5 linked regions of the Xenopus tropicalis genome follow. The protein of the gene in region 1 interacts with the protein of each later gene in a biochemical or structural test. Links are inferred from orthologs where the notes say so. Each region holds a gene or a part of one and is shown in the gene's direction. Other genes may lie near its edges.

What was found.
Region 2: of the proteins of ptges3 (region 1) and casp3.2, one has a biochemical effect on the other in vitro, tested with the Homo sapiens proteins (2 studies listed by BioGRID and IntAct). The link is inferred for Xenopus tropicalis from reciprocal best matches to the Homo sapiens genes PTGES3 and CASP3.
Region 3: of the proteins of ptges3 (region 1) and casp7, one has a biochemical effect on the other in vitro, tested with the Homo sapiens proteins (2 studies listed by BioGRID and IntAct). The link is inferred for Xenopus tropicalis from reciprocal best matches to the Homo sapiens genes PTGES3 and CASP7.
Region 4: the proteins of ptges3 (region 1) and hsf1 form a complex in vitro, tested with the Homo sapiens proteins (2 studies listed by BioGRID). The link is inferred for Xenopus tropicalis from reciprocal best matches to the Homo sapiens genes PTGES3 and HSF1.
Region 5: the proteins of ptges3 (region 1) and tert form a complex in vitro, tested with the Homo sapiens proteins (2 studies listed by BioGRID). The link is inferred for Xenopus tropicalis from reciprocal best matches to the Homo sapiens genes PTGES3 and TERT.

What each region holds. Positions count from the first base shown.
Region 1 is NC_030678.2:138,777,667-138,781,181, reverse strand, and holds part of ptges3 (prostaglandin E synthase 3), read left to right. Parts: intron 1-827; coding exon 828-897; intron 898-2,510; coding exon 2,511-2,609; intron 2,610-3,515. UniProt on the Homo sapiens protein: Cytosolic prostaglandin synthase that catalyzes the oxidoreduction of prostaglandin endoperoxide H2 (PGH2) to prostaglandin E2 (PGE2).
Region 2 is NC_030677.2:44,843,781-44,847,942, forward strand, and holds the start of casp3.2 (caspase-3), read left to right. Parts: upstream 1-1,358; 5' UTR 1,359-1,439; intron 1,440-2,931; 5' UTR 2,932-2,985; intron 2,986-4,162. UniProt on the Homo sapiens protein: Thiol protease that acts as a major effector caspase involved in the execution phase of apoptosis. Following cleavage and activation by initiator caspases (CASP8, CASP9 and/or CASP10), mediates execution of apoptosis by catalyzing cleavage of many proteins.
Region 3 is NC_030683.2:3,670,180-3,674,153, forward strand, and holds the start of casp7 (caspase-7), read left to right. Parts: upstream 1-1,160; 5' UTR 1,161-1,197; coding exon of another isoform or gene 1,198-1,200; intron 1,201-3,974. UniProt on the Homo sapiens protein: Thiol protease involved in different programmed cell death processes, such as apoptosis, pyroptosis or granzyme-mediated programmed cell death, by proteolytically cleaving target proteins.
Region 4 is NC_030682.2:152,310,959-152,314,473, reverse strand, and holds part of hsf1 (heat shock factor protein 1), read left to right. Parts: intron 1-263; coding exon 264-372; intron 373-1,673; coding exon 1,674-1,822; intron 1,823-2,267; coding exon 2,268-2,392; intron 2,393-2,609; coding exon 2,610-2,685; intron 2,686-3,515. UniProt on the Homo sapiens protein: Functions as a stress-inducible and DNA-binding transcription factor that plays a central role in the transcriptional activation of the heat shock response (HSR), leading to the expression of a large class of molecular chaperones, heat shock proteins (HSPs), that protect cells from cellular insult damage.
Region 5 is NC_030682.2:58,825,095-58,829,071, reverse strand, and holds the start of tert (telomerase reverse transcriptase), read left to right. Parts: upstream 1-1,171; 5' UTR 1,172-1,316; coding exon 1,317-1,355; intron 1,356-3,977. Other genes in the region: clptm1l (cleft lip and palate transmembrane protein 1-like protein), read right to left, coding at 695-856. UniProt on the Homo sapiens protein: Telomerase is a ribonucleoprotein enzyme essential for the replication of chromosome termini in most eukaryotes. Active in progenitor and cancer cells. Inactive, or very low activity, in normal somatic cells.

The sequences.
Region 1 (3,515 bases):
CACTTACACTATCAAAAAGGATACACAGTCTAACACTGCCAAAGGTAAGAGAACAATAAATGTGGAAAATTGCAAAAGTGCTTAGAGGAACATATGTAAATGCACAAGAGCCATTAATATCTTGTAAATTATATCCTTTTAAATGGTGCTTAGCGATTGTCATTGTCGATTTGTAAAGCATATGTAAGATGTAGGGGATTATTTGCTGTAGGCTAAGTGAGAATTTTTGTCCCCCCAAGAATTTTCTTGTTTTCTCTTTATTTATGATGTATTACCTGAATTTCTCTATCCCATAAACTTACCAGTTCTGAGGTGGCAATATCTAAGTTATATCCTATGTGCAAAATTTTGTAGTTTTCAAAGTTCCGTTTTTATGGTGTTTAAATGTTTTTTCAATCATCTTTTGCACTTTTCCATGATTGAGATGATTGCCACAAACAATGTTTTACTTGCAGCTACCTTAGGGGTAAGCACTTTCAGGAAACCTCTCGCCCACAGTATTGCAGACTTACTACAGGCGACAAATCTCCCTGTGCATCAGTACCCTAAGATGTTTTAAGGATGACTGCTACTCCAGATTCCAATTAATATACACTGGGCTAAAAGGGACCACCTTTTATATCTTTTAATGTGTTTTGCAGTACATTTTGGGATTAAACTCCGTACCTTCAGTATCCTGTGATAAATGTTTTTTTTTTGTTTGTTACACTAAATATTTTTTCAATTTTGTGATTTTAAACATCTGTTTCTAGGTTACTGGTCATGGAATAGATGTTGGCTTTGCTGATTTAAACTAAGTTTTGTTTTTTTTAATTTCCTTTTTACAGTTGTCTTGGAGGAGCAGATAATGTAAAATATTTAAATGAAGTTGAACTTTTCCAGTCTATTGATCCCAACGTAAGTTAACATACTGGGTTTTTTTTTTCTTAAAAGCATGCGTTAATCAGTTCTAGGATCATTTTCTTGGTCTTTATATATAGTGTTTTAAATGTACTATTTTTGTTCTGCAATTATCTTGAGACTTAAAAGGTTCATAAGTAGATTAAAAATATTATAAATGATACAGGTAAGAAATCAAAACCTGTTATTTGAAAGACTGACAGTCAAACTATACGCCCTTTTCATCTGCTGAACGTACTTTGTGCCTTTTTGTTTTCTGTTATTTCTGTTACTAAACAGGAATATGCCAATTTCCACTTTAGTACTTCATGTCACTTTGGTCACAAAAAACTTACTATTACTAAGATTACTTAGATTACTAATATTATAAATATTAAAATTTAGATGTGGAAAGACTGCCATCGTTTATCCCTGTCTCAAACATTCAGAGTTATAGATCTGGTAAAATTCTGGTCTCATGAGTAATCTACATTCCATTTGCCAATTTTTGAAAGTTAAATCGCCGGTGGGATGGCATACACGGCACGATTTCAGTGAAATCGCGGAAGTTGCCTTGAGAGGAAACTTCCACGATATCACTGAAATCGCGCCGCCGCGTATGCGATTTTCATTTTTGCCGGTGGGATGGCTTTTCGGGGAGATTGGTCGCCCGCAAACAGGGAGATTTTTCGCGGGCGACTAATCTCCCCGTGTGCCAGAGCCCTTAGTGTGTGTAAAAGTCTACTCTAAGCAGAAGAGCATGCAGGTGGGCTGTAAGAATTATGGATTCTTGCCATTCCTCTGATCATTTTTCACCTAGTTTGCAGAGAAGAACCTACAACAATAATTTAAATATTGAATAAACCCAATAGTCTTGCTTTGCCTCCAATAAGGATTAATTATATCTTAGATAGGATCAAGTACAAGGTACTGTTTTATAATTACAGAGAAAACGGAAATCATTTTTAAAAATTAGAGTTATTTGCTTATATTGGAGACTATGGGACTTGGCCTTTCCATAATTCAGAACTTTCTGGATAGCGGGTTTCCAGATAAGGGATCCCATACCTGTATACTTTATATTTTTAAATTACACTGTTTACATAGCAAATAATTCACTCTACCAATTAAAATTTTATTCTTAAGCCAACAAATGTATTTTTTTAGCTGTAATATTGGTGTGTAGGTGCCATCTCAGTGCATTGTGCCTGAGTCTGAGCTTTCAGAAGAAGCCAGCGCTACACATTAGAACTGCTTTCAGGTAACCTATTGTTTCTCCTACTCCCATGTCACTGGAGGAGTCCCAAGCCAGACTTGAATTTCTTACTATTGAGTGCTATTCTGATGTCTACTGGGAGCTGCTATCTTGCTACCTTCCCATTGTGACTGAAGTTTATTAGAGCACAGGTCACGTGGCTGTGGCACCCTGGGAAATGAAAAATATGGCTAGCCCATGTGAAATTTCAAAATTAAATTTAAAAAATCTGCTTGCAATTTTATAAAGGTCAGTGCAGGTTATTATGGTGGAGAAGTTCTATTTACTGATGTGTTTTGGAAAAAAACACTTTTTGCCATGACCGTATTCCTTTAAATTGACAAGTCTTTATTTGTTTTTTTTGGATTTTTTTTAGGAGTCCAAACATAAAAGAACAGACCGATCTGTTTTATGTTGTTTACGAAAAGGGGAGTCTGGACAATCGTGGCCACGGATTACAAAAGAAAAGGCAAAGGTATGTTATTTTATTTAATAACTTTAGCTGTAGTGGTTTTGATGGAAAAAGAGTCTGTGAAGGTTAATATTACCTTTATGTAAATTGCACTGGCATTTTGCAGACCTTTCAGAACATTTCCTTACAATTCCATACCTCGGACACAGCACTAGGGTCAGTTTTGTTACATGCCAAGTAACCTACCAGTGTATTAAAGGAACAGTAACACCAAAAAATGAAAGTGTATAAAAGTAATTACAATATAATGTACTGCTGTCCTGCATTTCTATAACTGGTGTGTTTGCCTCAGAAAGACTACTATAGTTTATATAAGTAAGCTGCTGTGTAGCCATGGGGGCAGCCATTCAAAGGAGAAAAGGCACAGGTTACTTAGCAGATAACAGATAAATCCTCACTATAAGCGGCTTATCTACTAGTTTTTCTGCTATGTATCATGTGCCTTTTCTCCTTTTTTCCAGCTTGAATGGCTGCCCCCATGGCAATACAGCAGCTTATTTATATAGTAGCTTTTCTGTAGCAAAAACACCAGTTTTTTTGCAGAGCAGCAGCACATTATAATTTAATTACTTTAAAACACTTTATTTTTTTGATGCTACTGTTCCTTTAAAGGTTGTGGGTGTAAACTGAGGCTAATGGCACAGATGAAGTGTTTTGTCTGTTAACATCTGGTAGAAAAAAAGAGGCCTTCAGACTGTTTTGCTTCTGGCACCCTTTAGAGGAAATGTTAGGTCTTCTCCCCCCTTTAGCTCATAACTAGTTACTGATTTATGAAAACATTATTAATATTAACACCTATGTAAAGCAGCGACTTACCTTTTAGGAATTTTTTTTTGTTCTTCAACTCGAATATTATAAAAAAAAATGTAATTATTGAAAAAAAAACCTTATAGTAGAAAGCACTAGCCT
Region 2 (4,162 bases), on another chromosome or scaffold:
AACCCTTATTTTAATTAGTTGAAATAGCTCTACATAACCATTTCTTTTTTTACTTATTGTAACTTTCTGTCCCACTTTATTTAATCTGACAGCAATTTATCAGTTCTCATCGTTGGTCCCAGGCAGCGTGCCTGGACTTCTTGCCTACTTTATTGAGTACAAACTATCTTTTTTCCTGCCTAATTATATTCAAGTTATCCTGCTTGATGGTCACATTACAAATTTCTTGGGTCTTGTATTTCCTCTTCCAATGTAAAAGCACCCAGCTTTCAACCTTGTGCTTCTATATTGTAGTGGAACTCCCCAGTGACTTATAATAGCCTTATATTTTACAATAGGGGTACATTTTTCACTATATGAGCCTATACTGATAGGGAAATACTATAATTATGGTTCCATACAATACCTGATTGAGTAGTGCACCTATTCATTGTTTTTTACATTTAAGATATTGTTTTCTTCTATTAAAGGGGAGCTGTTGCTACTGTAATGAAATGTATTTTTTTTCTTTACAGTTGTGTAGATTCATGATTTATTGATGAATTTCTCAACCCATCATGTTTTTCCAGAAGTTCCAACTAATCCCATGGCCCCAAGGTGATATAAGGATCCAGTTCCACATATTTTACACCTCATTCCTTTTCAATAAAAATGTCAAATAAATAGAAATAAAATTTCTATTAAAAAAGCCCCAATACCATTCAAGTTTGTATTATTGAGAAAAAAAATCCACCCCCTGTGCCCATTGACAGGAGAATACTACAGAGTAGGATTTGCTTTCATACTTAACCTCCTCATTATAACTAATTATAACTAATGAATATAACTATAACGTGCAACATATACGTCACCCGACCTTTTCCTTCTCATATCTCCAAACAATGCGCACATCAGCTCCCGCTGCAATATACAAATTTCCCGCCCATTCCCAAACATATTATTACTCCGCCTCTACTGCTGCAAGGTAAAGGCTGGGAGCTATATCATGCAGAAACTGCATTCCCAGAGAATTCGTCTATCGTTTGTCTTCAGCCTCCAGTCACGAACTCCTAATAGCTGCACTAGTTCATTAACTATGTAAGAGCTGGAGACCCAGCAGGAATATCCCTGCCATGGAGATATAGAGGTAACTTCGCCAGCATTCCGCTTCTGATTGGCAGAATGGCGTTACGTCACCAGTTGCTCCGTTTAAGGCCCAGCCCATTGGTCGGAACGTTTCCGTATTGTTCGTTTACAGGTTCCCCTGAGATAGCTTGGGATAGGCGAGCGCTCGACCAATCAGGCTGTCTCTCTGGATTAAACCCCCCTCCCTTACTATTTTGTGTGAGGTCAGCGCTTGTGTTGTTGCTGTCTTGGAAAAACACGCCAGACACAAAAGCAGCAAGGAAGGAACGGAGCAGCCTGTACTGTACTCTCCGCTATAGCCGCCTTGTCTCTGGGTAAGTGTGCACAATCCTAGTGCGGTATTTTTATATACACACATACATAATGTATTTATATGCCCGCCGGGTAGGAAAACAAGTTATGTCGGATGTGCTGTAATGACAAGAGGCGCTACATTCTCTATGTACGTGGCATACACCTTTATAATGTGTTCTTTTCTGCTTTAAATATTCTTTGTACCAGACTTTTGAACACATTGGCACTGAGTACCCAGGCTAGTGTGTGCTAACTAGCTTTTATAAGTTCATTCTTATGTACAGGCAGCCTGTAGTTTCCTGTAAGGCACCTCTATCAGCTCCCGTTGTTCTAATTCGTGTAAGGTAAATTATTAAAAAAAAAACCAACTTCCTATGAGCATATATTTTCTGCAAGCACTTCCTTAAAATAGTAAATTGTTGTTTATTTCTTTCTGAAAGCAGCATGTAAAATTTGAAAATGTTTGATTTTGTGTTTCCATATCAGAATGTTTCCTGGTAGTTATTTTATTGTCTGTTTTTCCTGCCATACCACAGCAGTCCTGTCTTGCTTTATGGCAGGAATTATAGTTACATGCTTTGGTGCAGCTGTGCCCTTTGTCCATATGTGCACATTTCACTAGCATCTAGGCACGTGTTCTAATAAGTAATTATAAAATCATACACTCGTGTACATTTGTGTATGTTGGCCATGGTATGAAACACAAGTAGACCAGGGTGTTGAGTACAGGTGCTTTTTAACAGTCCATGGAACTTAGAGGAAACCATTTACTAATAAGTACAGAACATAGAATAGAATGTTTTTTTCGTGTTTTTGATACATGTATTATTCTGTCACTATGAGCACTGTACAAGCCTCGTGAAAAATCTGCACAGCCCACAAGGGACTTGTACATGTAATAATGTAACTCACTAATGGCTGGCATGGGGTACATTATTCCCTAAGTATCCTGAAGCACACATTTTTCATTTAGATCATAATCCTATAATACACTGTGGTAGAGGGACAGTCTACTTCTTGTACTAGGAAGGTAAAAGATATAGATTGAGTGCTATGTTTTCTGTCCTAATTTTTATTATCCAGTCAGTTTTATTGTATAAGATAAAGATATAATATATATAAAATAACTCCCTTCATATCTAGGTACAGTATATGATCTGTGTCCTCTCCACCACAGAGTGGGCATCTCAGCCCAGTGCCTGTATATTTCAATGTATAGTGTCCCTTTAAGAATGCAAGTTTGTTATTTCTGATATTGAAGTTACAAGTTTACACATGTACCTGTGCAAGGCAAACAAATTGTTGATAAAGTAGATAAGATTATTTTCACTGACCGTGACATGATTCATGTAATAAGTATCATCATTAGCTTGTGGAGGCTTGTGTGTTTGTGTATAAACATCAACATGTTTCATTTCTCTTTGAACCGCTGTGGCGAACCAAAACGCACCGATGTGGTGAATGATGTGAATCATCAATAAACCCTTCTTTTTTCTCCGTGTGTGCTTCCAGTTCGTGGAGATATTTGACTTGTTTGGGAAGCACCCAGAACTTATTTGGAGTGTGGTGAGTACCTGTATCTGTTCTAACTATGTATAACTTATATATAGTGTATTTAGTGTATTCCTATTATCCTTATATTTGACATCACTGAGCTCTATCTATCTAGCTATATCTCTGGTTATTACCACATGCCCTTTCCCTTGGGCAACTTGTTTTTCAACATTGGTAAACTTAACCCAGTCCAATGACCGATTTACATTTGGCAGCCTGGAGCTTTTATTAATCTAGCCTTAGTGAGCTTCTTCTTCAACTTCAAAGCTTTATTACAGGGGACATATAGGAGGAATATTTTATAAGTGGGAAGTCACTTGAAGTCAGTGATAAGTACTTTAAATGTAAAGCTTATATAAAATGTATATAAATACACACACACACTGAAACCGTCAGGATTTAGGAGATCAGAAGTGTTAAAAATTGGGCCTTTGCTCTGATATAAAGTACAGCTGCTAACATTCTCAGATGTTCATGTGAACTGTTGTTGCAAACAGCTGAAGAGTCACTAGTTTTGTCAGCACTGATCTAGGGATGTGGAGAAGGAATAAATGAGCTAAACATGAGGGCAGGAGCCTTGTAAGACTACTGAGGTGAAAGTGTAGGTAGCAGTCAGGGTGTTAGGCATAATAGTAGAAAACAAATGGGCATTTTACTGATGTTTATTTATATGTGTTATTTTAACATCCATGAAGGTGCTTCCCAGTAAGGGATTCATATAGATAGACCCCCCTTCCTTTGCTTCTCAGCATTTGTTGAGCAACCCTTTCCAATAATCATTTCATATATCATGTTATTGTAATTAGAGAGCTGCAGGTTATATCAGTCTGATGAATTATCTTGATAAAGTTTATATTAAAAACCAAGTAACAATTTTGCAAAAAAGCCAGTGGTGTGTGGACTGAGATCCTTGTACAGGTATGGGACCTGTTATCCAGAATGCTCTGGACCTGGGGTTTTCCGCATAAGGGATCTTTCCATAATTTGGATCTTCATACCTTAAGTCTGCTATATAATTAATCCAATAAGGATTAATTATATCTTAGTTGGGATTAAGTACAAGGTACTGTTTTATAATTACAAAGAAAAAGGAAATCATTTTTAAAACTTAGAGTTATTTGCATATAATTGAGTCTATGGGAGATGGTCTTTCTGTAATTCGGAACTTTCTGGATAATGGATTTCCGGA
Region 3 (3,974 bases), on another chromosome or scaffold:
GTGCCATAGTTTTATGGTATCTCTCTGTACAGGCTATGGGCAAACTTAGGGGGCTGTTCCTGCTGAATTGTGCTTAGTACAGGGGAATCCCCATGTGCCATAGTTTTATGGTATTTCCTCTGTACAGGCTATGAGCAAACTTAGGGGGCTGTTCTTGCTGAATTGTGCTTTAGTACAGGGGAATCCCTAGGTGCCATAGTTTTATGGTATCTCTCTGTACAGGCTATGGGCAAACTTAAGGGGCTGTTCCTGCTGAATTGTGCTTAGTACAGGGAATCCCTATGTGCCATAGTTTTATGGTATTTCTCTGTACAGGCTATGAGCAAACTTAGGGGGCTGTTCCTGCTGAATTGTGCTTAGTACAGGGGAATCCCTGTGTGCAATAGTAACTCAGCCTACAGCCTTGTGCCTTTATATGGGCACAGAACCCCTCAGTGACTGCTAATATCCTTATCATTTACAGTAGGGGGTACATTATCCCTTATAATACATGAGTGATACTCAGAGTTCCCTGTATAACTCAGCCGGGCAGCCTTGCCTTTATATGGGGGGACAGAACCCCTCAGTGACTGCTAATATCCTTATCATTTACAGTAGGGGGTACATTATCCCTTATAATACATGAGTGATACTCAGAGTTCCCTGTATAACTCAGCCTGCAGCCTTGTGCCTTTATATGGGGGGCACAGAACCCCTCAGTGACTGCTAATATCCTTATCATTTACAGTAGGGGGTACATTATCCTTTATTTATATACACACAATGTATACAACAAGTTCCAAATAGTTTTTAAACATCAGGACATGGTTGGTAATGTGTATAAATAGATAATATCTCCTATTACGTGTATATATAGTATAATATACCTGTCCTTTATATGAATTAAACCAATTAATATTTGTTTGGGGGTCTCTCTCCCTGTAGGGGTATGTATGTAACGTAGATATATATATATATTTGCTCCTGGGAGTAAGAGAGATAGTGAGAGAGAGTAAGAGAGATATAGTGACTCTGTTTCACTACTAGTTGAGGGTTTGTTACACCCAGTGGTTAACAATAAAGCTGGTTAAATCCCACAGCCTGGGGGGGGGGGAGGTCTGAGCATTTCCCTATTTCCTTAAAGGGGAGGGGAGCGAGCGGCACGGCAGGGGCCCCACAGGCGGCAGTTTGGGGGCAGAAAACAATCAGATTCAGCAAATGGTAACTCTATAACCGTTCTAATGGGGGCAACTTGCAGGGGTAACTGGATACATTGTACCATTGCAGGGGGGTTACGGTGTCACTACTGGGGGGGTTTGTGCTATTGCTGGTGGTTATTGTATCACTACTGGGGGTTATTGTATCACTGCTGGGAGTTATTGTATCACTACTGGGGGTTATTGTATCACTGCTGGGAGTTATTGTATCACTGCTGGGGGTTATGTATGTTATCACTGCTGGGGTTTTGTATCACTGCTGGGGTATATCACTGCTGGGAGTTATTGTATCACTACTGGGGGTTATTGTATCACTACTGGGGGTTATTGTATCACTACTGGGGGTTATTGTATCACTACTGGGGGTTATTGTATCACTGCTGGGAGTTATTGTATCACTGCTGGGGGTTATTGTATCACTACTGGGGGTTATTGTATCACTACTGGGGGTTATTGTATCACTGCTGGGGGTTATTGTATCCACTCACTGGTGCTATTGTAATTCACTACTGGGGGTTATTGTATCACTGCTGGGAGTTATTGTATCACTGCTGGGAGTTATTGTATCACTGCTGGGGGTTATTGTATCACTGCTGGGGGTTATTGTATCACTGCTGGGGGTTATTGTATCACTACTGGGGGTTATTGTATCACTACTGGGGGGGTTTTGTAGCTATTGCTGGGGGTTAGTGTGGGTTACTGTACCATTGTGGGAGGGTTACTGTACCATTGTGGGAGGGTTACTGTACCATTGTGGGGGGGTTACTGTATAATTGCTGGGGGTCCCCGGGTTACTTGCCACTACAGGCTAAGTGTCAGTTGCTCAGCAGCCCCCCTATTGAGTGACACAGACGGGGGCCGTATTTCTCCTGTTTGTTACAATGTGACAGCGACACTGTGGGTACTTTTATCCTGCACTGGGAGCACTGGGTGGGCTGGGAGCGCTGGGAGTGCTGGGGCTGAGAAATGAAAGTAAAAGTAAATGGAACTTTCCCGCTCTTGTGCCCCTGACGTAGCTTCCCTGCACCCACAGTCTGTTCCATACAACTACTTGTTAGTGTGTCCCCTGTGTGTGTGTGTGTGTGTGACCCCCCCTGTGTGTGTGACCCCCCCCCTGTGTGTGTGTGACCCCCCCCTGTGTGTGTCCCCTGTGTGTGACCCCCCCTGTGTGTGTGACCCCCCCTGTGTGGTGTGACCCCCCCGTGTGTGTGTTGCCCCCCCCCCCCTGTGTGGTCCCCTGGTGTGTGACCCCCCCCTGTGTGTGTCCCCGTGTGTGACCCCCCCTGGTATGTGTGTGTGTGTCTGTGTCCCCCCCCGTCTGTGTGTGTGTGTGTCTGTGTGTCCCCCCCTGTGTGTGTGTGTGTCTGTGTCCCCCCCGCTGTGTGTGTGTGTCTGTCCTGTCCCCCCCCGTGTGTGTGTGTGTCTGCTGTCCCCCCCGTCTGTATGTGGTGTGTCTGTGTCCCCCCCGTCCTGTGTGTTGTGTCTGTGTCCCCCCCCGTCGTGTGTGTGTTCTGTGTCCCCCCCCCGTGTGGACAGTGTGTTTCTGTTCGTCCCCCCCGTGTGTAATGTGTGTGTTGTGTGTTCCCCCGTCTGTGTGTCTGTGTGTGTCCCCCCCCCCGTGTGTGTGTTGTCTGTGTGCCCCCCCCCCCCGTGTTGTGTGGTGTTGTCTGTGTCCCCCCCCTTGTGGTGGTGTGTGCTTCTGCTCCGTCCCCCCCGTCTGTGTGTGTGTGTCTGGTGTTCCCCCCCGTGTGTGCGTGTTGTGTCTGTATGTGTCCCCCCCGTGTGTGTGTGTCTGTTGTGTCCCCCCCTGTGTGCTTGTGTTTGCCCCCCCCCCCGTGTGTGTGACACACTCATCTCTTTGTTTCAAGTCACTTCCCCCTGTATGAGCCAATCACTTCCTGGCTTCTTTCTTTAACGAGATCACCAAACAAGTGGATTTGCCCAATTGAGATTTGGCCAGATGTTGGTCGGGGAGGCCTGTGCCCATACAGCGGCAGATCAGGTGCCCAATCAGTCTGAAGGACCCAAATTGGCAACTGGAATCTGCCCCATGTGTGGGCACCTTGGGCCCCATGGCACTGCCTGCCCTGTATTGTATTTATAGGGATGGGCCCTGCACTCTGTATAAGTCATTATAACATTTCATGCGCCTAAAATTGGTGAAACTCAAGGGGTCATTTACAAACGTTCCCTCACTCCCCCGTGGGCCCCCCCCCCTGCCTCTGCTGATGAATGGGGGCGCAAGTGCCCCTCTGGCGCTGGGGGCTGCAGTGTGGGGTGAAAACATCTAATTTGGGTCCAAATTGCTCTCTGCACTTGTTTTTATAATGATTCCTGCTGCAAACTGCTCTACCTCCTCCCATATCAAGGCAGCGTGCTGATTGGCCAGGGGCATTTTATAAGGGCTCATATCTACCTGGAGGACTGGAAGCTTAAGTGCCCCCAAGTAATCCCTGTAGGGGCAGTAACCCCCTAAACTAGATGATATGTTCAAATGGAGATTTATGGGGTTATTCACTAATTCCCAGGGCAGTGGGAAGGGCACTGCCGGTGGGGGCAGATAGCGCTGCCGGTGGGGGCAGATAGCGCTGCCGGTGGGGGCAGATAGCGCTGCCGGTGGGGGCAGATAGAGGTGCCGGTGGGGGCAGATAGAGCTGGTGGGGCAGATAGGGTGCAGGCCGGCCCTGTTCTTACTGCTGGGAAACAGAGATCTGCAGATTCATTGGTGCTGGGGGGCCGGGGGCAAAGTGCAGCCCTTGTGAGGCTTTGAGATAAGGA
Region 4 (3,515 bases), on another chromosome or scaffold:
CGGCCTTGTTACTGACTCTCTTACCGGCCTTGTTACTGACTCTCTTACCGGCCTTGTTACTGACTCTCTTACCGGCCTTGTTACTGACTCTCTTACCGGCCTTGTTACTGACTCTCTTACCGGCCTTGTTACTGACTCTCTTACCGGCCTTGTTACTGACTCGCTTACCGGCCTTGTTACTGACTCTCTAACCTGCCTTGGTATTGACTCTCTAACCTGCCTTGGTATTGACTCTCTAACCATTCCTCTCCTCTCTCCCCCAGGAAGGGAACAGTTTCCATGTGTTTGACCAGGGGCAGTTTGCCAAAGAGGTTCTCCCAAAGTATTTCAAGCACAACAACATGGCCAGCTTTGTCCGACAGCTCAACATGTGTAAGTCTCTCACATCAGCATGTCTCTCTGTCTCTCACATCAGCATGTGTAAGTCCCTCTCACATCAGCATGTGTAAGTCTCTCTCACATCATGTCTCTCTGTCTCTCACATCAACATGTGTAAGTCTCTCTCGCATCAGCATGTCTCTCACATCAGCATGTCTTTGTCTCTCACATCAACATGTGTTAGTCTCTCTCACATCAGCATGTCTCTCTGTCTCTCACATCAACATGTGTAAGTCTCTCTCACATCAGCATGTCTCTCTGTCTCTCACATCAACATGTGTAAGTCTCTCTCACATCAGCATGTCTCTCCGACTCACATCAACATGTGTAAGTCTCTCTCACATCAGCATGTCTCTCTGTCTCACATCAACATGTGTAAGTCTCTCTCACATCAGCATGTCTCTCCATCTCACATCAGCATGTCTCTCTGTCTCTCACATCAACATGTGTAAGTCTCTCTTACATCAGGATGTGTAAGTCTCTCTCCCCTCCCCGCCCCATCGCTCTGTTACATATTGAGCAGCCATTGTTACTGTCTCTTCCCCCAGTAGGATGAGGATTTTCCTCTCTTTTTCTATGGGAGTGAAGTCTGGGATGTGATGGGGGCTGTCTCTGTGGCCTTTCCAGGTATGGGGCTGTCTGGATTCCCTCTGCACTGATTGGTAGCTGGTGCTGAAGCTCTTGGGCCCAGGATATTCCTCCCACTATGTATTTGTTATTTATCTATGTACGAGCTGGATTCTGATACCCATAGGATGTTCTGCTCTCTCTCAGAGTAGTAGTAGTTACCCATAGGATATTCTGCTCTCTCAGAGTAGTAGTAGTTACCCATAGGATATTCTGCTCTCTCACAGAGAAGTAGTTGTTATCCGTAGGATGTTCTGCTCTCTCTGAGTAGTAGTAGTTACCCATAGGATGTTCTGCTCTCTCTCTGAGTAGTAGTAGTTACCCATAGGATGTTCTGCTCTCTCTCTGAGTAGTAGTAGTTACCCGTAGGATGTTCTGCTCTCTCTGAGTAGTAGTAGTTACCCGTAGGATGTTCTGCTCTCTCTGAGTAGTAGTAGTTACCCATAGGATGTTCTGCTCTCTCTCTGAGTAGTAGTAGTTACCCATAGGATGTTCTGCTCTCTCTGAGTAGTAGTAGTTACCCATAGGATGTTCTGCTCTCTCTCTGAGTAGTAGTTGTTACCCATAGGATGTTCTGCTCTCTCTCTGAGTAGTAGTTGTTACCCATAGGATGTTCTGCTCTCTCTGAGTAGTAGTTGTTACCCATAGGATGTTCTGCTCTCTCTCAGATGGGTTTCGGAAGGTCGTCCATATTGAACAGGGGGGCTTGGTCAAACCTGAAAGAGATGACACAGAGTTCCAGCACCCCTATTTCATCCGGGGTCAGGAGCAACTTCTGGAGAACATCAAGCGCAAAGTCAACACCGTGAGTACCAAGGCAAGTGAGTGAGGGGCGAATACCCCTACCCCCCTACCCCTGCCCCCCTGGGTACAGTTCAGTAATACAGTACTCATGGGGCAGTGGAGTAATCGGGTTACTAGGAAATACTCAGAGTACTAGAAATAGTAATGCTCTCAGCAGCAGAGTAACAGGCAGCTGTGTTGGTACTTTTGAGGGTACAGTAATACCCGTGGGTATATGGGTAACTTTGGGTGCAGAGTAATAGTTTCAGTGCTGCTGGAAGTATCGATACTCAGTAGAATTGGGGAGTAACGGTGTTTCCTTCAGAAATCAAAGAGTTAGTGCAACTGCCGGTGCTGTTACTACTGGGAGTAAGGTAAGAGGAGAGGCACGGGGGGGGTAATGTTGGGAGTGGGGGGTAAGGAAGGTGTGAGAGTGCCCGGCTGTGACCCCCGAGACCTCTCTCTCTCTCCCTAAGCAGCTGTCTGCCACCAAGAGCGAGGAGGTGAAGGGGCGTCAGGACAGTGTCAGCAAATTGCTAACGGACGTACAGAGCATGAAAGGCAAACAGGAGACCATCGACTGCCGCCTCCTCTCCATGAAACAGTGAGTTTGCCCGGGGGGCAAATGGGGCACTAACGGGCCACCCAGGGGCAGGTACCGTGGATTCCTTCCTTTAGTAATCAACTGTCACTCAGGGCTGCTGTCTCTGAGGGAGTGTGGGTGTACATCTATCTGAGGGAGGGGCCTGGGGGTGAGGGTGTGGCCTGGGAGTGAGGGCGGGCTAATCATCATGCTTTTTAACACTGTGCCTGCCCTGCAGTGAGAATGAGGCCCTGTGGAGGGAGGTAGCGAGCCTGCGGCAGAAGCACAATCAGCAGCAGAAAGTTGTCAATAAGGTAAGTCAGCACCGGAGCCTATGGTGTCACAGTAACCATAATAAATTATATATATATATATACAGACCACGATGGTTCAGCACTCCTTAGCAAATCCAGCTAACCCAGGTGCTACCGATTTAAGCAATTTCAACAGAGTCCATAGATGTACCGATGCACACTGGGAATCCTTTAAATATCGACTTTTATTTAGAAAATTAAAAGACTTAGTACATGGCAAAACAGGGAGATGGGAGGAGACTATTGTGGGACAAACTGGTGCTGCAGGGAGGTGGGAGGAGACTATTGTGGGACAAACTGGTGCAGCAGGGAGGTGGGAGGAGACTATTGTGGGACAAACTGGCGCTGCAGGGAGGTGGGAGGAGACTATTGTGGGACAGACTGGCGCTGCAGGGAGATGGGAGGAGACTATTGTGGGACAAACTGGTGCTGCAGGGAGGTGGGAGGAGACTATTGTGAGACAGACTGGTGCTGCAGGGAGATGGGAGGAGACTATTGTGGGACAAACTGGTGCTGCAGGGAGGTGGGAGGAGACTATTGTGGGACAAACTGGTGCTGCAGGGAGATGGGAGGAGACTATTGTGGGACAAACTGGTGCTGCAGGGAGGTGGGAGGAGACTATTGTGGGACAAACTGGCGCTGCAGGGAGGTGGGAGGAGACTATTGTGGGACAGACTGGTGCTGCAGGGAGGTGGGAGGAGACTATTGTGGGACAAACTGGTGCTGCAGGGAGGTGGGAGGAGACTATTGTGGGACAAACTGGCGCTGCAGGGAGGTGGGAGGAGACTATTGTGGGACAGACTGGTGCTGCAGGGAGGTGGGAGGAGACT
Region 5 (3,977 bases), on another chromosome or scaffold:
ACAATAAGTGGGTTTCATACATTGGACATCCAGAGTAACATATAAAGCAATCAATAACCGATACAAGAGGTGAAGAGAGCCCTGCCCAAAAGAGCTTACAATCTACAAGGAGAAAGGGTTGAGACACAAGGTGTGGGAATGGGCATGACCAGAGTTGTGAGAGGTGTGGCACAGGGTATTGCTAAACTAGATTAGGGTACGCTTCTCTAAATAAATGTGTTTTTAGAGATCTCTTGAAGGCAGAGAGATTGGGAGAAAGTCTGACAGTTTGTGGGAGTGAATTCCAGAGAAGGGGGGCAGCCCTTGCAAAGTCTTGAATACGAGTGTGTGAGGAGGGAATTATTGCTTATTGGATTTACTGTGTTGAACTTTCTCCCAATAAGGCACACAATTTAGACTGATAATCATCTTGAAGGAAACATGTGCATGCAAAATTAACACATTTGCTAACAGCTGTCTTGTTAATCATGTTGTATACCAGAAAGTCAGACTCTCCGATGATCAATGCAGAGAATTTGAAAAATAAAAATTACTATGCATGCTAAGCTAATAGCAATATTTAAGAATATCAAAAATAATTAGATAACAATAAGAAACCTTTAGGTTTCAGCGGATAATTCATACCCAATGTCTAGCTTTACACAACTTTTCATTCACAATATAAGCTCAAATGCAAGTTGTATCTATTACTGACCTGTAGTTTGGGCCTTTTTGAAAGGTATGGCTTGATGCAGTTGTCACTGTGACTTTCACAAGGCTTTGTGTAAACAATACCATACATCACCCAGCATGTATGCACCACATATACGATAAAAACACCCACCACCAGGGTGGTGAAAGAGCTCCTGTTCAGCATTGCACAGACAGTACAGTACTACAGCAACGCAAATAGATATCCAGGTGTACAGAAAAACAAACCCTGCATAAAAGTAAGAACAAAACAATGGTATGATTTGATCATATTAACACCAATATCAAAATCGGTCGCTTCTTTCTATGTAATATTGCCACTATCCGGCCCTTTCCGCCGCCGTCAGTCACTTCCGGAACCTTCAGTCCAAACTTCCTGGTTTCGTGACGCTAATTCCGAAAGTGACGTCACCGGCCAGCAGCGAGTTACGCGCTAGCAGCGTTCTGCTACAGTTTCCCCTCTGCCAATGAACAGGTTGGTCGCGTCGTTTGGTGCCGCAGCATCTAGTCTGTTCAACTCGCGGTTGGAAGAGATCGGAGCAGCAGCGTTCTTTTGCTCGTCGCATCTTATTTACTTGCCCCGCCCCCCGCTGTTTAGCTGAGGTCTGATATTGTCTAACACTGATATGGGACTGATCTATCAATGCGCGCAGCGGGGGCCACAGGTCTGGGGGTCTACTCTTCCTTTTGGGGGATCCACTAGTGTGGGACTGTCATGGGCATTTATTTGATCAATGCGTGCATCATGGGTTGCAAGTCTGGGCTATTCTATTAGTATTTTAGCAGTGCCTAGTCTTCCGGTTCCTCTTAGCATTACAATAAATTAAGAGCATCACAGTTTATCTTAGTAAAACTGTAGCTATGGACACGACAACTGCAGAATTTCTAATATTGGTTTATAAATGTTTTATCACTTTTATTACTACAATAAGGGGTATATTTATCATGCTGTGTAAAAAGTGGTGATGTTGCTGATAGCAGTCAATCAGATGCTTTGCTTTGATTTTCTAACTGTTGAAATCTAATTGCTGATTGGTTGCCCTGGGCAACATCACTGGTAATGCTTCACTCCACTTTTTACACAGCATGATAAATATACTCCTAAGACTTTTTAAGCCACAACTGCAACAGGTCCGCTTTAGGAAAAGCCGAGTATGTTCATTTCTCGAAGTGAAATCCCAAGTACATGTACACTATTTCAGAACATATCGTTTTAGCTGGCTATTTGAACGTAATATATATTGTTCAGCTTCTACTAGTTAATTGCATGACTCTCCCAGCTAAATGTACAATGTGATAGCCTGGAAGCCAGCTAATCTAACTGGGAAGTTACACCACCTGTAATTTGTGTAATGTGACATGCACACACTTATCCTCTATATATATATATATATATATATATATATATATATATATATATATTTAATCCAAAGAAAGGCTGTATTGTTACCTTCACTAGTGCTTTGCAAATGGGCTCCAATAGTTCCTCAGACCAATCTGGTGACTTGTAAATAGCATTTGATTTTAATCAAGTTTCATAGTTGGTTTTACTTTTGTCTGATGTTATATGAATGCTCAGTGTGGGCTTAAGGGCTCTGGCACACGAGGAGATTTGTCGCCTGCGTTTTTTCCCCCTGGAGCTTTGGCGACAAGTCGCCACGACAATACCCACAAAGAGATTTCATGCGAGTTGAGCTCCAGGCGATTTGCTACCCATGGTACACTCAACAGTTAACCCCCCCTCATGTTTACTCAAGTCGCTCAGAGCCTTAGGGCTCTGGCACACAAGGAGATTTGTCGCCGGCGATTTTTAAAAGAGCGATTTGGCGACAAGAAATAAATCAATGGAAATCGCCAGCGTCAAAACATACAAGGTTACTTCAAATCACCTGCTGTTTCAAATCGCACACAGACCCTTTTCTGAGCGACTTGAGTAAACATGAGGGGGGGTTAACTGTTGAGTGTACCATGGGTAGCAGATCGCCTGGAGCTCAACTCGCATGAAATCTCTTCGTGGGTCCAGGAGGAAAAAACGCAGGCGACAAATCTCCTCGTGTGCCAGAGCCCTAAAGAGCAGAACACCAACACACAAATTGAGGCTTAAGCTTTACAATATATTAAAGATATATGCAACACAGTACATATAGAATAAGCAAATGTATACAGAGCCAAGAAGGATTTGTCCAAAATAGAAGCTGCAGGTATATAGTAGCAGTGCTATGGTGTCAGGTCACATTAAGCCCCATAAGATCTGTTTGTGCAGAAAAGCATTTTGGGTACAAAATCGCACCATGACACTGTATAGGGTATTCTCATCAGGAATATGTTCAGTTTGCAGACTAGTGTTCTTGTTCTTAACAATGCCCTAATAAAGATGCGATTTTACATTTCTTATACACATTAATGAGTTAAGTTTGTTGGAAGGGGGGGTGTTTATCTTGTATATTTCTATTTACTTTTCTGTTATGCAGTGCTGCAGAATATGTTGGCACTTTATAAATACATTATGTATTTATATACATTACTGTATATAAATTGGTATTTTGGTGGTTGTCGTCTGCCTTATAAGTAAGAGGGGCAAGGAGATGACCCCTAGTTAGAAAGTGCTCTTTAGGATGCCTGATTTTCACACTGGGTAGGTGAAATGACTGCATTCTAACAGACCCATGAGTATTGTTTATAAACATGGTAGACTGCATGTTCCCTGCCTTGGAGTTGCAAATGTTTCAGCACATAATAATTCTATTAGTATTCATAATTTGAAAATCACATAATAAAAAAAAATATGGTATTTAATATCTAGAAGCCACCCTCTGGTTTATTTGCAAACCAAGGGCAGGCTTACATGCTAAGTTACATTGCCCAATGAATTGGCAGAGCTGTATCTTTTACTCCCACACATCTTCCTGTTGTAGCTGGAATCTTCATTTTTTTAGATGTCAGGTGATCAGTGAGGGAGCACTAATGTGTAAATGCTAAGATTCTTTAGTGGGTCACTGATTGACATCTATTAGTTACGCACTTGTTCAGAGTGTGGTTCCAAACTTAAGGATGGATTGTGCACATGCAGTCTATGTAACATCAGTGCATGCTGCATATTTGATAGCTGCATTCTTTATAAGACTTTTCTTAATTTCACATTAATCTGGGAGGAGAGACCAGAACTAAGTGAGACAGGATCAGAGAATTAAAAATGATAAAAATAAGTAATTAAAGACAAAGGGGTCGAGAAGCACACATACAGGGAAGGAAGTAGCTGACTGAGGGGAATTTTCCATCAGGACTTA